4 linked regions of the Saccharomyces cerevisiae S288C genome follow. Changing the gene in region 1 together with any one later gene gives a genetic interaction. Each region holds a gene or a part of one and is shown in the gene's direction. Other genes may lie near its edges.

Region 1 (5,016 bases):
GTAGAGCAAATCCAAGGGAAAACCCCGGTAATAGCAAAACACCAATTTGAGTTGACTTCGTGGACGTATTTGTCATAAGTGTCATAAGCCCTGCTCCAATTACCCCAAGAACGCCTCCAAATATTAAGAGTGGTTTAACTAAACCGAGCTTTTTGGTAATCACACCACTTGCAATGGCCGCAATAACGTTGGTAATAACGATTGGTATCAAGTGAAGACCGGCTTTCCATGCACTCGACGCAAATATAAGTTGGAAAAACTGGACAGAGTATATCATTTGCCCATTGTAACCGGTACATAATAGAAATGTTACCATGTTTACTATTATTATGGCTGGTTTTGCTACCAATCTTCTTAGAAGGAGAGGCCTGTAGGATATATTATCAGGTTCCGGGTTGAATTTATCGAATAGGAAGAAATCGTACACCAATGAAAAAATAAAAAGTAAGACACCCAAAACCAAATATGTGATGACTTGGCCAGAGTTCCAACTATATTTATTACCACCAAAGGTTAGCCCCAGTAGGAAAAGGACCAGCCCTGCAGAGCAGAGGGCAAAACCAAAGAAGTCAAACTTGAAGATTATGCCATTCATAAGTCTTTTAAAATTAACTTGGTGTCTGAACTTACTAAAAGTAAAGCTCGAGATTGTTCCTATAGCATCTTTAATTTGTTGAAGTATACCCTTATTCTCGGCCTTATAGGTGAGTAAAAACATAATAATGGCAAGACCACCGATAGGAAGATTGATATAGAAGCACCACCTCCAGGTAACATGGGTTGTAAAGGCACCTCCGATTATAGGACCAACGATAGCAGCTACAGCAAATGCACAACTTAGGATGGAAATCACCAATGGACGTGACCTTTCACCAACCATCGTACAACCAATAACAAAGCAAAGCGTTTGGAGTCCGCTTCCCCCAACACCAGCAACAACTCTACCGAAAATGAGCATATTCATTGAAGAGGCAAGGGCAGCAATTAGGGATCCGGCTTCAAAAATAAGTATTGCTAAAATGAGACTATGCTGGAAACCTATGATAGATGCGAATCTTCCCCAAATGAGACTCAGAATAGCATTTGGTAAACTGTAGCCTGTAACGAGCCAACCTGTTTTGGAGTAGTTTCCGAACTGTTCTGCGACCACGTCAATAATAGTTCCCACTATCAAAATATCCAGTGCAGTTATGAATAGTACAAGAGTTAACGAAGCCAGGCAGAGGTACAAGGAAAGTCCCATTGGAGAATCATTGCTACCTCTAGCATTCAATGAAGCGTCTGAACCACATGCTCCTTCTATCTCCTGCTGCGAAGAGTACTTAGTTTCCTCCATATTTTTGAATTTCTATCGATTAAGCTCTATACCAGGTATGATCTGGTCTGATCAGTTCTAGGTATGAGTATAACTAGAATACATCTATATATATGTATATATATATTTAAACCAAAAAAAAAAAAAATTCGCTTCTCATAAAGGTGTGATGACACTATTATCTTTTGCATATTTTGTCGACTCGTATCATGTACGCGCTGCATATGAGGTGCGGCGCTATCTGTTAAATATGTACTAATTTGCACCTGCTGCAAAGGAAATGTGGCACTACTTTTACTCGCATGTTAACTTTCACCTACTATATATAGAAAAAAGGGTGTTGCTTTCAATCGCCGACTAATTTGCTCAAATACTCTTTACACAAAGGAAATTGTGTATCAGTAACCCTTACGGTTTGTTTATGAAGGAACTTTGCTCGTCCTACACCACCGGATCTAGGTACTCAATTTTTTGATGATTTTGCACTTGTGCTCATATCCTGTCGACAGGCACCGCATTTTTTTCCTTGTTTCAACAGACATAAACACAAGCTTCACTCATTAGTTTGAAAAGAGATAGTTTCGACGGTACAGTATTCTTGTCGTACAAAAGTCTTCGGTATAACTGGTTCGTTGTGGATTTTCGGAAAGTAAGTTGATTGTACGACGACAGGTCAAAGTTAAAGTTAAAGTCACCAGGTGTATAGACACCACATTGAAGGGGCGTCACAGCAATTTTTTTTATTTTTTTTTGATACTCAATAATTACGAGCATATAATTTTAGTACTTCCAAAAAAAAGTTAAAAAAAAAATAGTGACAAAATGTGTCAGTAAAATATATATGAGAACATGGAATGTATTAAAGTAATTCCATTTCTAGCAGATGTAGCGACCGTAGAATCTTAAATACTATTTACATAAATAAGAAAAGTAAAATAGTTTTATGGACTGGAACGAGAAAAAAAAAAAAAAGAATAATCAAGTAAATAAATTATCGGATGAGTTCTAGTGTTGTTGGTGCCTCAAGTAATAAAAAAAGTGGAATTAGGCAGTCCTGTGAGATTATTGAGCGAGAACGTCACTCAAACGATGACACGTACTCTATGACATCGACCTTTTTTAAGCTCAAAGAAAACGAAATTATGTCTGCACAGTTTGATTCCTTGAAATATAAAATTCTACTGATAAGTACCGCGTTTGTATGTGGGTTTGGAATTAGTTTAGACTACACACTTAGATCGACCTATACGGGCTATGCAACGAACTCATATTCAGAACACTCCTTACTTTCAACTGTCCAAGTTATCAATGCTGTTGTGAGTGTCGGATCCCAAGTTGTCTACTCTAGACTCTCTGACCACTTCGGAAGACTAAGGCTTTTTTTAGTTGCAACTATTTTTTATATAATGGGAACCATCATTCAATCACAGGCGACCCGTCTCACCATGTATGCAGCAGGATCGGTTTTCTATAACTGTGGATACGTCGGAACAAATCTGCTCCTGACATTAATACTCTCAGATTTCTCCTCCTTGAAATGGAGAATGTTTTACCAGTACGCCTCATATTGGCCATATATCATAATACCATGGATTTCAGGCAATATTATCACAGCAGCAAATCCTCAGAAAAACTGGTCCTGGAATATTGCAATGTGGGCTTTTATTTACCCACTCTCTACCTTGCCAATTATATTTCTTATTCTTTATATGAAGTACAAATCTTCAAAGACTGCTGAGTGGAGATCTCTCAAAGAACAGGCTAGAAAGGAAAGAACGGGCGGATTATTTGAGAATTTGGTGTTTCTATTCTGGAAACTCGATATTGTTGGCATATTATTAATAACTGTGTCGCTAGGGTGTATTCTTGTTCCTTTGACGTTGGCTAATGAGACATCACAAAAGTGGCACAATTCAAAAATAATTGCCACTTTAGTTTCAGGTGGCTGTTTATTTTTCATTTTTTTATATTGGGAGGCCAAATTTGCCAAATCTCCTCTTCTACCGTTCAAATTACTAAGTGATCGTGGAATTTGGGCACCCCTTGGTGTTACTTTTTTCAATTTTTTCACCTTTTTCATTTCGTGCGACTATCTGTATCCTGTTTTGCTGGTATCGATGAAAGAATCGTCCACTTCGGCTGCTCGGATAGTAAACCTTCCTGACTTTGTTGCTGCTACTGCATCTCCATTCTACAGTTTGTTGGTGGCAAAGACAAGGAAACTGAAACTTTCTGTAATCGGAGGTTGTGCTGCATGGATGGTGTGCATGGGCCTTTTTTACAAATACAGAGGAGGATCTGGGTCTCATGAAGGTGTTATCGCTGCATCTGTTATCATGGGTTTGAGCGGTCTCCTATGCAGCAATTCAGTGATCGTCATACTGCAAGCCATGACTACGCATAGTAGGATGGCTGTAATAACCGGCATTCAGTATACCTTTTCAAAGCTAGGCGCTGCTATCGGTGCCTCCGTTTCTGGTGCCATATGGACACAAACCATGCCTAACCAACTCTACAAGAACCTTGGAAACGATACATTGGCAGAAATAGCATATGCATCACCTTATACATTCATTAGTGATTATCCTTGGGGCTCACCGGAAAGAGATGCTGTGGTTGAATCTTACAGATATGTTCAACGAATAATAATGACGGTTGGCTTGGCATGTACGGTACCGTTCTTTACGTTTACAATGTTCATGAGAAACCCGGAACTAATAGACAAGGCGACACACGAAGAATTCACTGAAGATGGTTTGGTTGTCTTGCCAGATGAGGAAAATATTTTCTCTCAAATCAAGGCACTTTTTAGACATAATCGAAGTAACAAGAAATCAGGATGTTGATCCCCAAGCTGGTGAAAAAAGGGCAAAAAAAAAATGAAAGCAAAATCACAAAAAAGGCAAAAACAAGTGATTTCTACATTTTTATTACTTCCGATAAAAATGACATAACAGGATAGGATAAACATGCTCGATAGACCCACATTTGAACTTGCGACGCATATAGCTGTGTCGTACTTTTTATTTTCACAAGCGTCGGTAAAAACTCAGCGTCGGTAAAGACTCAGCGTCAGTAAAAGAGTCAGCGTCATTGATATTAAAAGTGCGGGAGGAGTTACTATCCAATAAATGATGCTGGAAATGCGCTCTGTATGAATGCATTAATTATGTTGTACCGAAAAAGAAAGAAAGAAAGAAAAAAAAGAATATCATGTAACTTCTAGTAAGGGCGTCATGTCATAGCACTTTTCTAAGTGTATGCCATTGTAAATCATTCTAAGCGAAAAAAAGTGATATGTCTCCTGGTATTTTGTATTGTTGTCGTTACAAGTTGATGTGTTCCGTAGTGTGAGTGCAACATGCGATTTTGGTACCGCAAAAAAGGTACAGATCACATGGGCACAGATACAACAATTCTTTATGCCTGTATTGAGATCATAGTTTTCTTGGAGTCGGCAACAGTCTACGGGTGAACCCAATAATCCAGCAGTAAATCTACTAACCGAACATTGTGTCGGAATTTACACATTACTGATATAATTCGTCCCATTAAACTTGCTGCGAGTGATTTCCAAAACAAGTACTACATTGAGCGTGTTCAGCGTGCCCAAAAGAAATGGACTTGAAAATCTTGTTGAATTAACTGTATATCCTTTAAATTAGCTGCCACAATGATAGCTACCTCCGCGATATATTGAC
Region 2 (4,236 bases), on another chromosome or scaffold:
CAAAGGCATATAGTTGAAGCAGCTCTATTTATACCCGTTCCTCCATCTGTCATCACTACTTAAACGATTCGTTAACAGACGCTCATTTAGCACCTCACATATCCTCCATATCTCATCTTTCACACAATCTCATTATCTCTATGGAGATGCTCTTGTTTCTGAACGAATCATACATCTTTCATAGGTTTCGTATGTGGAGTATTGTTTTATGGCACTCATGTGTATTCGTATGCGCAGAATGTGGGAATGCCAATTATAGGGGTGCCGGGGTGCCTTGAAAAACCCTTTTACGCGCGCCTGTGAAGTTTCCGCTTTCGGTCAAAAAGAATATCCGAATTTTAGATTTGGACCCTCGTTCAGAAGCTTATTGTCTAAGCCTAAATTCAGTCTGCTTTAAACGGCTTCCGCGGAAGAAATATTTCCATCTCTTGAATTCGTACAACATTAAACGTGTGTTGGGAGTCGTATACTGTTAGGGTCTGCAAATATGTAAACTCTCGGCGAATGCCTTGGTGCAATTACGTAATTGTAGCCGCTGAAGGCGGATGGTATTGAGAGAAGTTGATGTTCAAAGTATCGTGTATGATAAAAATAGAATTGTAACCAGTTCGTAGTAGCAGTATTAAAACTTTGATTCCGAGATGTAATCCCTCTTTTCTAGCCAGATATGAAGGAAAAAAGTGTAAGGGTAGTTGAGAGCGCTACTTTATTTTATTCTATTTTAAAAATGTTCTCTAGGAGAGGTGTATTAATAGTTGGTACTCCATGTAGCTTCTAAGTCAAAAGAAATGTCTCTATCTTTATGGTAACGGTTCATCGTTAGAGCTCAATTGTGCTTCTTGGATGTATTTCCAAAGTCCCACGTTTAATAACCCACACAACATAAATGTCCTTGAATATAAAAAATTTCGAAAGCTCCCCGTAAAGAATGCTTGATAATCAGCTCCATCAAAGAAATACTTTTTGTTCTTCCAAACTTTTCCTCTCAGCAAATACATATTTATTTCCTTTGCAACCACTTTCTAGAGAATTCATAATAGTTGATAAAAAAGGCATTTTGTCTTCTATGTTCATAATTTCAATTCTTGAATTTTGGAAATCGTGAAATGTTTCGAGAAACCGCCTTCAATAATTAGAAAACAAAATAAAAGATTACAGTTAGGCCACTCAAAAATACAATTCAGATAAGAAAGGTGCGATAGTGGGGAATAAGAATTGGAAATCCGCTTGATAATCAGGGAAAACTTAAAGAACGGGGTGTTAAAAGTCTGTGAAGTATAGATCAAACTCGCACTAGCTAGCAATACTCATGAGAACCTAGGTGAGTGTAAAGCAGTGAACCTTCTTTAGAAAGCAGAGAAAAATCCTCCAAGTTAACAGTCTTCCATACTTACTCAGTATGGATCAAGTTCCACAGTTTGTCCACTTCTGTAGAATAAACTTGTAGTGCTTTTCCGATGAAAAGGGATAGAGTCTTTAAAAGACTTGATCTTGGCATTTTTATCCTCCTTCAAGCAGAATGGCTCCAGTAGAGTTGTTCTGAACGCTTCTGGGCAGTGAGCAGCATTGAAGAAAAAGTACTCAGCATTCCAAGCTTTGTCTTCATATAATTATAAATTAAAACTCATAGCCACCAATTTCCAGGTTTTGGTCGCAATATGCTGCAGAATCAATGGCTTGTTTCGTTACTATACTGGTCCGACGGAGTTTACTTTACTCTAAATTTGCTGAAATAGCAAGGCCACACGCCATACAATTAACAATAGTTCATTCAGTTGAAAGGTTTCCGAGATAGAAAGTGCGGTAGTAGAGAAGAACAATAAACGTATCAAACTTTGCGCAGTCATGGAATTTCCAGGAAACATTTTTAGGTTTTCATATGACAGCAGTTCCTGTCCGAGAGCTGTGCCTTTCTTGTCTCAGCTGACTAAGATGTCTCGGATCCGCCCGGCTGGCGCGCGGCTCCGTCTAGTGGGATAGGCTTTCAACACATAGGAAACCCTTCAGATGATGAGAACACATCGAATCCCAGAGAGTAATATCACCAAGAATAAAGCAACCATGATAGACAATATTACTAAGTGTTCCTCAACAGATATTGAGAAAAGTTCTTATAAAGCGGGCAGGCTTTTTTCTATTTTTTTCTTTTTCTTTATCTAGCTTAAGATCCTTCTAACCATATTCTATAAAATGGCAAGCTGAATACAGATTATCAACGACAATTACATATAACCTACAAACAGGCAAGTTGCAATTCCAGAAACCATGAAGGCTGTCGTCATTGAAGACGGTAAAGCGGTTGTCAAAGAGGGCGTTCCCATTCCTGAATTGGAAGAAGGATTCGTATTGATTAAGACACTCGCTGTTGCTGGTAACCCGACTGATTGGGCACACATTGACTACAAGGTCGGGCCTCAAGGATCTATTCTGGGATGTGACGCTGCCGGCCAAATTGTCAAATTGGGCCCAGCCGTCGATCCTAAAGACTTTTCTATTGGTGATTATATTTATGGGTTCATTCACGGATCTTCCGTAAGGTTTCCTTCCAATGGTGCTTTTGCTGAATATTCTGCTATTTCAACTGTGGTTGCCTACAAATCACCCAATGAACTCAAATTTTTGGGTGAAGATGTTCTACCTGCCGGCCCTGTCAGGTCTTTGGAAGGGGCAGCCACTATCCCAGTGTCACTGACCACAGCTGGCTTGGTGTTGACCTATAACTTGGGCTTGAACCTGAAGTGGGAGCCATCAACCCCACAAAGAAACGGCCCCATCTTATTATGGGGCGGTGCAACTGCAGTAGGTCAGTCGCTCATCCAATTAGCCAATAAATTGAATGGCTTCACCAAGATCATTGTTGTGGCTTCTCGGAAACACGAAAAACTGTTGAAAGAATATGGTGCTGATCAACTATTTGATTACCATGATATTGACGTGGTAGAACAAATTAAACACAAGTACAACAATATCTCGTATTTAGTCGACTGTGTCGCGAATCAAAATACGCTTCAACAAGTGTACAAATGTGCGGCCGATAAACAGGATGCTACCGTTGTCGAATTAACTAATTTGACAGAAGAAAACGTCAAAAAGGAGAATAGGAGGCAAAATGTCACTATTGACAGAACAAGACTGTATTCAATAGGCGGCCATGAAGTACCATTTGGTGGCATTACTTTCCCTGCTGACCCAGAAGCCAGGAGAGCTGCCACCGAATTCGTCAAGTTCATCAATCCAAAGATTAGTGATGGGCAAATTCACCATATTCCAGCAAGGGTCTATAAGAACGGGCTTTACGATGTTCCTCGTATCCTGGAAGACATTAAAATCGGTAAGAACTCTGGTGAAAAACTAGTTGCCGTATTAAACTAGATGACGAACAGATATTATTTTTCTTTTGTATACACAGTTATTACGTATGTTAGAGTGACTTGGTTTTTTTTTTTTTAATGAAATTGTTTGTTATTGATCACGCCTTGTAGGGGAAACAGATGAGAACAGTGAAAATCATAACTCATTATGTGATTTGTTGTGCGTCACCCTTCCATGATTATATATCCTTACTATCTACTATCCAACTACTACATATCTATTGAACTCATATGTACCAAGCACATAAAATTATGCACCTATTTCCATTGGCAAAGACTTGGCGAAATTTAATACACTGTAATAATATCCGGCGAAGCTCTTTAAGAATTCTTACCTATAATAGCGGCTCGCTGTCCGAACGATTGCGCCGCACTTTTCTGCCTCTTACATTCCCTTTTCCTAAGGCGATAAGCAGGCTGAATGGAAACTACGATATAACGCAGTAGAGGTCCCCCAAGAGCTGGAAAGAAAATATTGGTTTGATAGCCAGCACTATTCTATCCAGTGGGCTCTTGTACCATTTTCTGTGGTATGGCTTTGATTCAACTGCATACGTAGTTAACGCGATCAGCCGCACATGGGCATTATCATTTTCAGGGGTACTGGTAAACCCTATTGTTTAGAAAGAATACCTGGTAAGCGGGTCTGTCGAGTCTTTCCCACTAATTTTGAAGAAAAAATCTTTACCTAGTTTGAGAATAATCGTGGCGTTCGTAACATCACGAGGTGAGAGAGACCAGTTAGGTAAGGGTATGCCAATAAAAGGTTATTGATACTTCAACGAATCTTCATATTAAAAGTGCCTTCACCAGAATAAAATTCTAACGTCATCCTAAAAAGCATCAATTGGACATAGTGAGGGAA
Region 3 (4,207 bases), on another chromosome or scaffold:
TGTATGCCGGTGGCCCAACTGTCAGATTAACTCTGAGACCACAGTTAAGTGATGCTGATATTATTGTAACATCATATGACGTAGCTAGAAATGATCTCGCAGTCCTAAACAAAACTGAATATAATTATTGTGTTTTGGATGAAGGACATATAATTAAAAACTCTCAATCAAAACTTGCTAAGGCTGTTAAAGAAATTACTGCAAACCATAGATTAATTTTAACCGGAACTCCCATCCAAAACAACGTTTTAGAATTGTGGTCTCTGTTTGACTTCTTAATGCCGGGATTTTTGGGAACGGAAAAGATGTTCCAGGAAAGGTTCGCAAAGCCAATCGCTGCGTCAAGAAATAGTAAAACATCATCTAAGGAGCAGGAAGCAGGTGTACTGGCTTTGGAGGCACTACATAAGCAAGTTCTACCTTTCATGCTGAGAAGATTGAAGGAAGACGTTCTATCTGATTTACCACCTAAAATTATTCAGGATTACTACTGTGAATTAGGTGATTTACAAAAACAACTATACATGGATTTTACTAAAAAACAAAAAAATGTAGTTGAGAAAGATATTGAAAATTCTGAGATTGCTGATGGCAAGCAACATATTTTCCAAGCTTTACAATACATGAGAAAATTGTGTAATCATCCAGCTTTGGTCCTTTCACCAAATCACCCGCAATTAGCGCAAGTACAAGACTATTTAAAGCAAACTGGTCTAGATTTACACGATATTATCAACGCTCCAAAACTGAGCGCATTGAGAACATTACTCTTTGAATGTGGTATAGGTGAAGAAGATATCGACAAAAAAGCAAGCCAAGATCAGAATTTTCCTATTCAAAATGTCATATCACAACACAGAGCCCTGATTTTCTGCCAACTAAAAGATATGCTAGACATGGTTGAAAATGACTTGTTTAAAAAGTATATGCCCTCCGTAACCTATATGAGGCTAGATGGAAGCATTGACCCAAGAGACAGACAAAAAGTTGTTCGGAAATTTAACGAAGATCCCTCTATTGATTGCCTACTGTTGACCACCAAGGTCGGAGGGCTGGGTCTGAATTTAACTGGTGCAGACACCGTCATTTTTGTAGAGCATGACTGGAATCCAATGAATGATCTACAGGCAATGGACAGAGCACATAGAATTGGTCAGAAAAAGGTTGTTAATGTTTACAGAATTATTACGAAAGGTACGCTTGAAGAAAAAATCATGGGTTTGCAGAAATTCAAAATGAATATAGCTTCTACAGTTGTTAATCAGCAAAACAGTGGATTAGCATCCATGGATACACATCAGCTGCTTGATCTCTTCGACCCCGATAACGTTACCTCACAGGACAATGAGGAAAAGAATAATGGCGATTCCCAAGCAGCCAAGGGCATGGAAGATATTGCCAACGAGACTGGTTTAACTGGCAAAGCCAAAGAGGCCCTCGGTGAATTGAAAGAGCTATGGGACCCATCTCAATACGAGGAGGAGTATAATTTAGACACCTTCATCAAAACTTTACGATAAACAAATTCTTGCATTGGAATGACGCGTATACAAGGTCATTTTTGTTTTATTTAACGCATTTATGTATTATCAACTTGTAATATAATACGGTATATTAATGGAGTCTTATAGAATTTACGGGTATATTCAAATCAGTATTGATAATGTTTTCATATTCTCTTGTTAAAATTCAGGTTATTAGCTGTCTATTGATTATGGCTTGGACTTTTTTTTTATTTTATTATTTTTCATAGTTAAGTTGCGCCAAAGGGAAACTAGAAACAGTTTAGTCGAACTCTGCAGAGCTTCATCTCAGTATGAAAAATTATTCATTTGAGCTATCGAAACGTTTGGATATAAACATACATAAAACCTCTGTTCTTCTGCCAATTTAAATGCAATTCGCTGGGAAGAAAACTGATCAAGTGACCACATCTAATCCGGGCTTTGAAGAAGAAGAAGAAGAAGAAGAAGAACTACAACAAGATTGGTCGCAACTCGCATCGCTCGTTAGCAAAAATGCTGCTCTTTCACTTCCAAAGAGGGGTGAAAAAGACTATGAACCAGATGGGACTAATTTGCAAGATCTGCTTCTCTATAATGCAAGTAAAGCCATGTTTGATACCATATCAGACTCAATAAGAGGCACAACAGTAAAATCTGAAGTAAGAGGATACTATGTTCCCCATAAACATCAAGCCGTTCTACTTAAACCCAAAGGCAGCTTTATGCAAACGATGGGAAGGGCTGATAGCACAGGCGAACTCTGGCTTGACTTCCATGAGTTTGTTTATTTGGCAGAGAGAGGCACTATTCTTCCTTATTATAGATTAGAAGCAGGCTCTAACAAAAGCTCAAAGCACGAAACAGAGATTTTACTCAGTATGGAGGATTTGTATTCGCTGTTTTCATCGCAACAGGAAATGGACCAATATTTTGTGTTTGCTCATTTAAAAAGGTTGGGTTTTATTCTAAAACCCAGCAATCAAGAAGCAGCAGTCAAGACTTCCTTTTTCCCATTGAAAAAGCAACGAAGTAATTTACAAGCAATCACTTGGAGATTACTTTCATTGTTTAAAATACAAGAGTTATCGCTGTTTAGTGGTTTCTTCTATTCTAAGTGGAATTTTTTTTTTCGTAAATATACGACTTCACCACAGTTATACCAGGGTTTAAATAGGCTTGTTCGTTCCGTGGCTGTACCAAAGAATAAAAAAGAGCTATTGGATGCACAATCTGATAGGGAATTTCAAAAGGTAAAGGATATTCCCTTGACATTTAAAGTATGGAAACCCCATTCTAATTTCAAGAAAAGAGACCCCGGTCTTCCTGATTTCCAAGTTTTCGTTTACAATAAAAATGACGATCTTCAGCATTTTCCTACCTATAAAGAGCTGCGATCTATGTTTTCCTCACTTGATTATAAATTCGAATTTTTAAGCGAAATCGAGGATGATGACGATTGGGAGACAAACTCCTACGTTGAAGATATCCCACGAAAGGAATATATTCATAAGAGGAGCGCGAAATCTCAAACTGAAAAAAGTGAGTCGTCTATGAAAGCAAGTTTTCAAAAAAAAACTGCACAGTCTAGCACGAAAAAGAAGAGAAAGGCGTACCCACCTCACATACAGCAAAATCGTAGATTGAAGACGGGATATCGGAGCTTTATTATCGCTATTATGGATAATGGCCTTATTTCGTTTGTAAAAATGTCCGAGGCTGATTTTGGATCTGAAAGTGTATGGTATACACCTAATACTCAAAAGAAAGTAGATCAAAGATGGAAGAAGCATTAAAGGGACTTTTGCTAAATCGCAGTTTCTTTATCCTTGCAAAACTGGCTTTCAACAAATCCGGTATATATATAATTATCATATTAGTTGAAAAAAAAAAGCTACAATAAAATTAAGAAATAAGAAATGCACCTAACTGCTGTATTTGGAGTACATATTTTCATCAAAAACAGAGGGTCTATTGTAAAAGGACGTAGGATTCTCTTGCAGTTCACGTTCTTCGTTTTCAACTGCTTTACGTCTTCTCAAGTCGTACATATCCTCTTGCGATTGTTTCGGTGGTACTGGTGGGGCTGCCATAGTAGGCGTTGCAGCATATGGCGAAGCTTCATAAGTTCTTGGTGGAATACCGGGTCCTTGAGGTAAATCACTGCCGGCACTTATTTTGAGATTTTGAAATTGGTCCCCTAAATTGAGCCCTTGTCTAGATAATGACTGAAAGGCTGCACTTTTTTGGGGCAGTAATGGAGGACCCCCAACGACAGACGCTTTAGAATCAAGTGGAGGGAGGGGAGGAGCGGGAGAATTAGCTGTTGAATCCTCGGTCTGCTTTGCAACTCTCACTCTTTCTGCTAAGTCTCTACTCATATTGAATAATGAATCATAGAACTCTATTCCTTTTGGCAAGTCGGATGCAAAAATACTGAATGATTTCACTGCTTCTTGCAGCTTATCAAAAAAATTCTTACGATCTTCTAAAAATTTTTCTTCCCCAGAAGATTTATCCTTGAAATTTGAAAGGTGAAAAATTTCATCTAGCTTGGCTTTGATGTCATCTATCATTGAAGATTGTTTGTAAATTGTCGCCTCTATTCTTGTGCTCAAAGGCTCGAATTTCTCCAGTTCCACCTCGAATAAATCTTTGAGCTCAACATCGGATTTCCCCTTATTAATAATTAATAATTTTGTGAT
Region 4 (4,762 bases), on another chromosome or scaffold:
ACAAGACTCAATTGAGGTTGAAGCGAGGTAGGAGATATGGTCTATGTGGTCCTAATGGTGCCGGAAAATCCACTCTAATGCGATCCATTGCTAATGGCCAAGTTGACGGGTTCCCCACTCAGGATGAATGTCGCACTGTTTATGTGGAACACGATATCGATAATACACATTCGGACATGTCCGTTTTAGATTTTGTATATTCCGGCAATGTAGGAACTAAGGATGTTATTACCTCGAAATTAAAGGAGTTTGGGTTCAGCGATGAAATGATAGAAATGCCAATTGCATCCCTATCTGGAGGTTGGAAAATGAAATTAGCTTTGGCGAGGGCTGTTCTGAAGGACGCTGACATTCTACTATTGGATGAACCAACAAATCATCTAGACACTGTTAATGTGGAGTGGCTGGTAAATTATTTGAATACTTGCGGAATTACATCGGTGATTGTCTCTCATGATTCTGGTTTTCTGGATAAGGTTTGTCAATACATCATACATTATGAGGGTCTTAAATTAAGAAAGTACAAGGGTAATTTATCAGAATTTGTTCAAAAATGTCCTACGGCACAATCATACTATGAATTAGGTGCCTCTGACCTTGAATTTCAATTCCCAACTCCTGGTTATCTAGAAGGTGTCAAAACGAAGCAAAAGGCAATTGTTAAAGTAAGTAATATGACTTTTCAATATCCAGGGACAACTAAACCACAAGTCTCAGATGTTACTTTCCAGTGTTCTCTATCCTCAAGGATTGCAGTTATCGGACCTAATGGGGCTGGTAAGTCCACTTTAATTAATGTTCTTACTGGTGAACTGTTACCAACCAGCGGTGAAGTATATACACACGAGAATTGTCGTATAGCGTATATTAAGCAGCACGCTTTTGCACACATTGAATCGCACTTAGACAAAACTCCATCCGAATACATTCAATGGAGGTTCCAAACTGGTGAGGATAGGGAAACAATGGATAGAGCAAATAGGCAAATAAATGAAAATGACGCAGAGGCCATGAATAAAATATTTAAAATTGAAGGGACCCCAAGAAGGGTTGCAGGAATCCATTCAAGAAGGAAATTTAAAAACACGTATGAGTACGAATGTTCGTTTTTGTTAGGTGAGAACATTGGTATGAAATCTGAAAGATGGGTTCCAATGATGTCTGTCGACAATGCTTGGCTACCAAGGGGCGAATTGATTGAATCCCATTCTAAAATGGTTGCTGAAATTGATATGAAGGAAGCTTTGGCTTCTGGTCAATTCAGGGCTTTAACAAGAAAAGAGATTGAATTACATTGCGCCATGTTGGGGTTGGATTCAGAATTAGTCTCACATTCAAGAATTAGAGGTTTATCGGGTGGGCAAAAGGTTAAATTGGTACTCGCTGCCTGCACGTGGCAAAGACCCCATTTGATTGTTTTAGATGAACCTACGAATTACTTGGACAGAGATTCATTGGGTGCTCTTTCAAAAGCATTAAAAGCTTTTGAAGGTGGTGTCATTATTATTACGCATTCGGCAGAATTTACTAAGAATCTGACTGACGAAGTTTGGGCGGTTAAGGATGGGAAAATGACACCCTCTGGCCATAATTGGGTTGCAGGACAAGGTGCTGGCCCAAGAATTGAGAAAAAAGAAGAAGAGGGTGATAAATTTGATGCTATGGGTAACAAGATTAATAGTGGGAAGAAAAAAAGCAAACTCTCTTCTGCAGAATTGAGAAAGAAAAAGAAGGAGAGAATGAAGAAGAAAAAAGAGATGGGTGATGAATACGTTTCTTCTGATGAAGATTTTTAATTTGAAGTCGAGTACATCTCTTTCAGTGAGTAACTTATATATTTTTGAAGTTAACATCCTTATTCTTTTTTTATATTTTTATTTTTTTTATGTTTATTTTCTATTACTGATTTTCACAAAGAAAGGTAAAAAAAAACATACTTCAGCGGCTATACAACCATATTTAAGTAAATGCACTCAGAGAAAGTATACAAGTAAAAAACCTAAGTAAAGACATAAATATCCCAAAATAATGCAAAAACTCCTCTTTGTCTTTTCTGTGTTATTGACAGTAGTACTAGCAACAGCACCATTTCAGGTACAATGTCCTAGCTCTCCACTTATTAGGGAGGCCAAAGTAAGTTAAACTCTTTGCCACTTTAACAAATATGGGCCAAAACTAACCGAATATACCAAAACTTCGTATTCCTTTGTTTATTAGCATGAACTCTGTCCAGAAGAAACCTTGTATCTGAAGAAAAAAAAAATTAAAACGAAGAATAAACTGATTCAGTTTTTAAAATCCTTGACAGAGGCAAAGTTTAGTTCGAAGTTTTATAAACGCGTGTTGAAAGATCCTCCAAAAATTGGGATTGCTATATCTGGCGGCGGGTACAGATCCATGTTAGTAGGTACCGGATTTATTTCCCAAATGAACGATTATGGCCTTTTTGAATATTCGGATTATATTGCTGGATTATCAGGCGGAAGTTGGATCTTGATGGATTTGGTAGTTCAAAATTTTGAAGTAAAATCCCTGCTACAAGAGTGGGACCTTGAAGAGGATCTTTTATTAGGCATACCGGAATTCGATATTTCCGAAGAAGAAATTGTTACCAATGCAAAAAAGGAGTATAATGATAATGATTTGAAGATGAAGAAGCGTCAGGGGGGTTCTCTGATTACAAGCTCTTCAAATTTTTATGAACAAATAGAGGAGATCATGAATTCCATAGAAGAAATCCCAGAAGACTATATGATAACGAAGAGAAACTTGAATCCATTAGCAAGACTAAAAAAAATATTCTTTCCTAACAACACTTTCACTGGAACTGATGCGAAGATTGAAACCTTTAAAAAAGTGCTAGACTTTTACAAAAGTTTGCATTTGAAAATTAAGCCTAAAAAAATGGAGGGTTTCCAAATATCGTTCACCGATTATTGGGGTAAAGCAATCGTTCAAAGACTAAAAAAAAATTTCGATGACGATCCCAACCATTCCTTTTCGTTTTCGAAGCTTGTAAACTCGTCTAAAAAATTTAAGGAATGCAGTGTGCCGATCCCAATATTCGTTGCAAATTGCAAAAATGGACTTCTTTCAAACGTTATATTTGAATTTACGCCCTTTGAATTTGGATCTTGGGAAAATATCCTCAGACTTTTCGTCAAGTTGCCCTATTTGGGCTCAAAAATTGTTTCTGGAAAGGCCGAGAAGTGTATTAATAACTTTGATGATCTAGGTTTTATTACTGCGACGTCTTCTTCAATATTCAACAATGTGCTCATCTTCATCTGGAATTTGGCTTCTCAGTCCTCCAGAGAAGCAATGAAAGCTTTGAATATGGTTATGGGAATTTTTGGCCTAGGTAAAGAGGAAATATTTAGTATTTCGAAAGACTCCTCGAGATTAGAGACAGACTATGCCGTATATCAACCCAATCCCTTTTATCTTTATCCTGAAAAAGACAATGTCCTAACTAACAAAAATCATTTATACCTTGTAGACGGCGGAGAAGACGGCGAGAATATTCCACTCAGAACATTGGTGATTCCTGAAAGGGAACTAGATGTAATTTTTGTTCTGGATTCTAGTTCGGATATTGACAACTATCCAAACGGCTCCAAGTTAAAAAGGATATTCGAAAAATTAGATGAAGAGAACGTTCATTACCAATTTCCGAACAATGTAAAAACATTCACTCACCCCATTGTTATAGGATGCAATGCTACCAAAAGAACTGGACATGATTCATTTTTGCCAATTATAATTTATCATGCCAATGCGAATCATGGAAACGCATCTAATACGTCGACATTCAAAATAACTTACAATCAGTCTGAAGTTAGCAGTATGTTACCCACTGGAAGGGGAGTGTTTAGCAATGATTATGACCTTTATTATAAAAATTGCTTAGGCTGTATATTAACCAAAAGAACAATGGACAGGCTCCCAAGAAAAAAGAAATTTTCGCCATTTTGCTTACAATGCTTTAAAGACTACTGTTACTCATAAGAGAGTAGACTTTTTCTGTGAAATTTAATGAGTTTTTGTTCACCTTTTTTACTTTTCTTCTATGCCATATGGTTAAATAAAACATGGTTCAAACGCGATTCTTTTTTATTATCTATGTCTTTATTATGTAGTCTTCACTATAATAACCGTTAATGAGCGACATAGTTGCATCAGTTTTTAAGGCCAATTTGATTCAGAACCTTTTCAAGTTCTTCACTTTCCATCTTATCCGAAGACGCGATCTGGTGGCATCTAATACTATGCTTCTCGAATATCGTTTCATCAATTTCAATTTCACCATTTTTTAGGTAAACAATATCAGTAATAAAATCTTGCCATTCAAAGTCATCATTCTCTGAATGGACACCCTTAGATTGCCTATAGCCTGCTATTGCCCTACTCATAGAATCTATGATCATTTGAACGTAGTGTAAACCGTCTAAACCAAAAACCTCTCTATCATATTTATTATTTATGAGCAAAACTTTTTTCGTATTATTAGATTCCAAAATTACTTCAGCAAGATTACCAAGAATAAGGATTGGGAGTAAACTTGTCATTAAAGAACCGATAGAATAAACGACCATGTCAGCTTTTTTCACCTTGGAAATAGCTCTTGGATTTCCCATTGGTTTTATCTCTTCGCCATATGGGTTTATATACAATATCCTATGTACCGGAGCAGGTAGATTCTGTGATTCATCAAGCTTGTCAAAATGCAACTGGGAGTTTTTCAGTTCTGGAAGAATATAGA

The links.
Region 2: mutations in GEX2 (region 1) and YCR102C together harm fitness more than expected from each alone (negative genetic interaction), as found in Saccharomyces cerevisiae (one large-scale study listed by BioGRID).
Region 3: mutations in GEX2 (region 1) and SEN54 together harm fitness more than expected from each alone (negative genetic interaction), as found in Saccharomyces cerevisiae (one large-scale study listed by BioGRID).
Region 4: mutations in GEX2 (region 1) and SPO1 together harm fitness more than expected from each alone (negative genetic interaction), as found in Saccharomyces cerevisiae (one large-scale study listed by BioGRID).

What each region holds. Positions count from the first base shown.
Region 1 is NC_001143.9:659,129-664,144, forward strand, and holds GEX2 (glutathione exchanger), read left to right. Parts: upstream 1-2,313; coding exon 2,314-4,161; downstream 4,162-5,016. Other genes in the region: VBA5 (basic amino acid transporter), read right to left, coding at 1-1,336.
Region 2 is NC_001135.5:303,497-307,732, reverse strand, and holds YCR102C (uncharacterized protein), read left to right. Parts: upstream 1-2,265; coding exon 2,266-3,372; downstream 3,373-4,236.
Region 3 is NC_001148.4:395,793-399,999, reverse strand, and holds SEN54 (tRNA splicing endonuclease subunit SEN54), read left to right. Parts: upstream 1-1,894; coding exon 1,895-3,298; downstream 3,299-4,207. Other genes in the region: MOT1 (DNA-binding ATPase), read left to right, coding at 1-1,520; BRO1 (Bro1p), read right to left, coding at 3,428-4,207. UniProt on the Saccharomyces cerevisiae protein: Non-catalytic subunit of the tRNA-splicing endonuclease complex, a complex responsible for identification and cleavage of the splice sites in pre-tRNA. It cleaves pre-tRNA at the 5' and 3' splice sites to release the intron.
Region 4 is NC_001146.8:607,658-612,419, forward strand, and holds SPO1 (putative carboxylic ester hydrolase), read left to right. Parts: upstream 1-2,028; coding exon 2,029-2,133; intron 2,134-2,217; coding exon 2,218-4,008; downstream 4,009-4,762. Other genes in the region: HEF3 (translation elongation factor EF-3), read left to right, coding at 1-1,796; YNL011C (uncharacterized protein), read right to left, coding at 4,179-4,762. UniProt on the Saccharomyces cerevisiae protein: Regulates spindle pole duplication in meiosis I, but not in mitosis. Required for meiosis I, meiosis II chromosome segregation and spore formation. Binds phosphatidylinositol (4)P mono- and polyphosphates.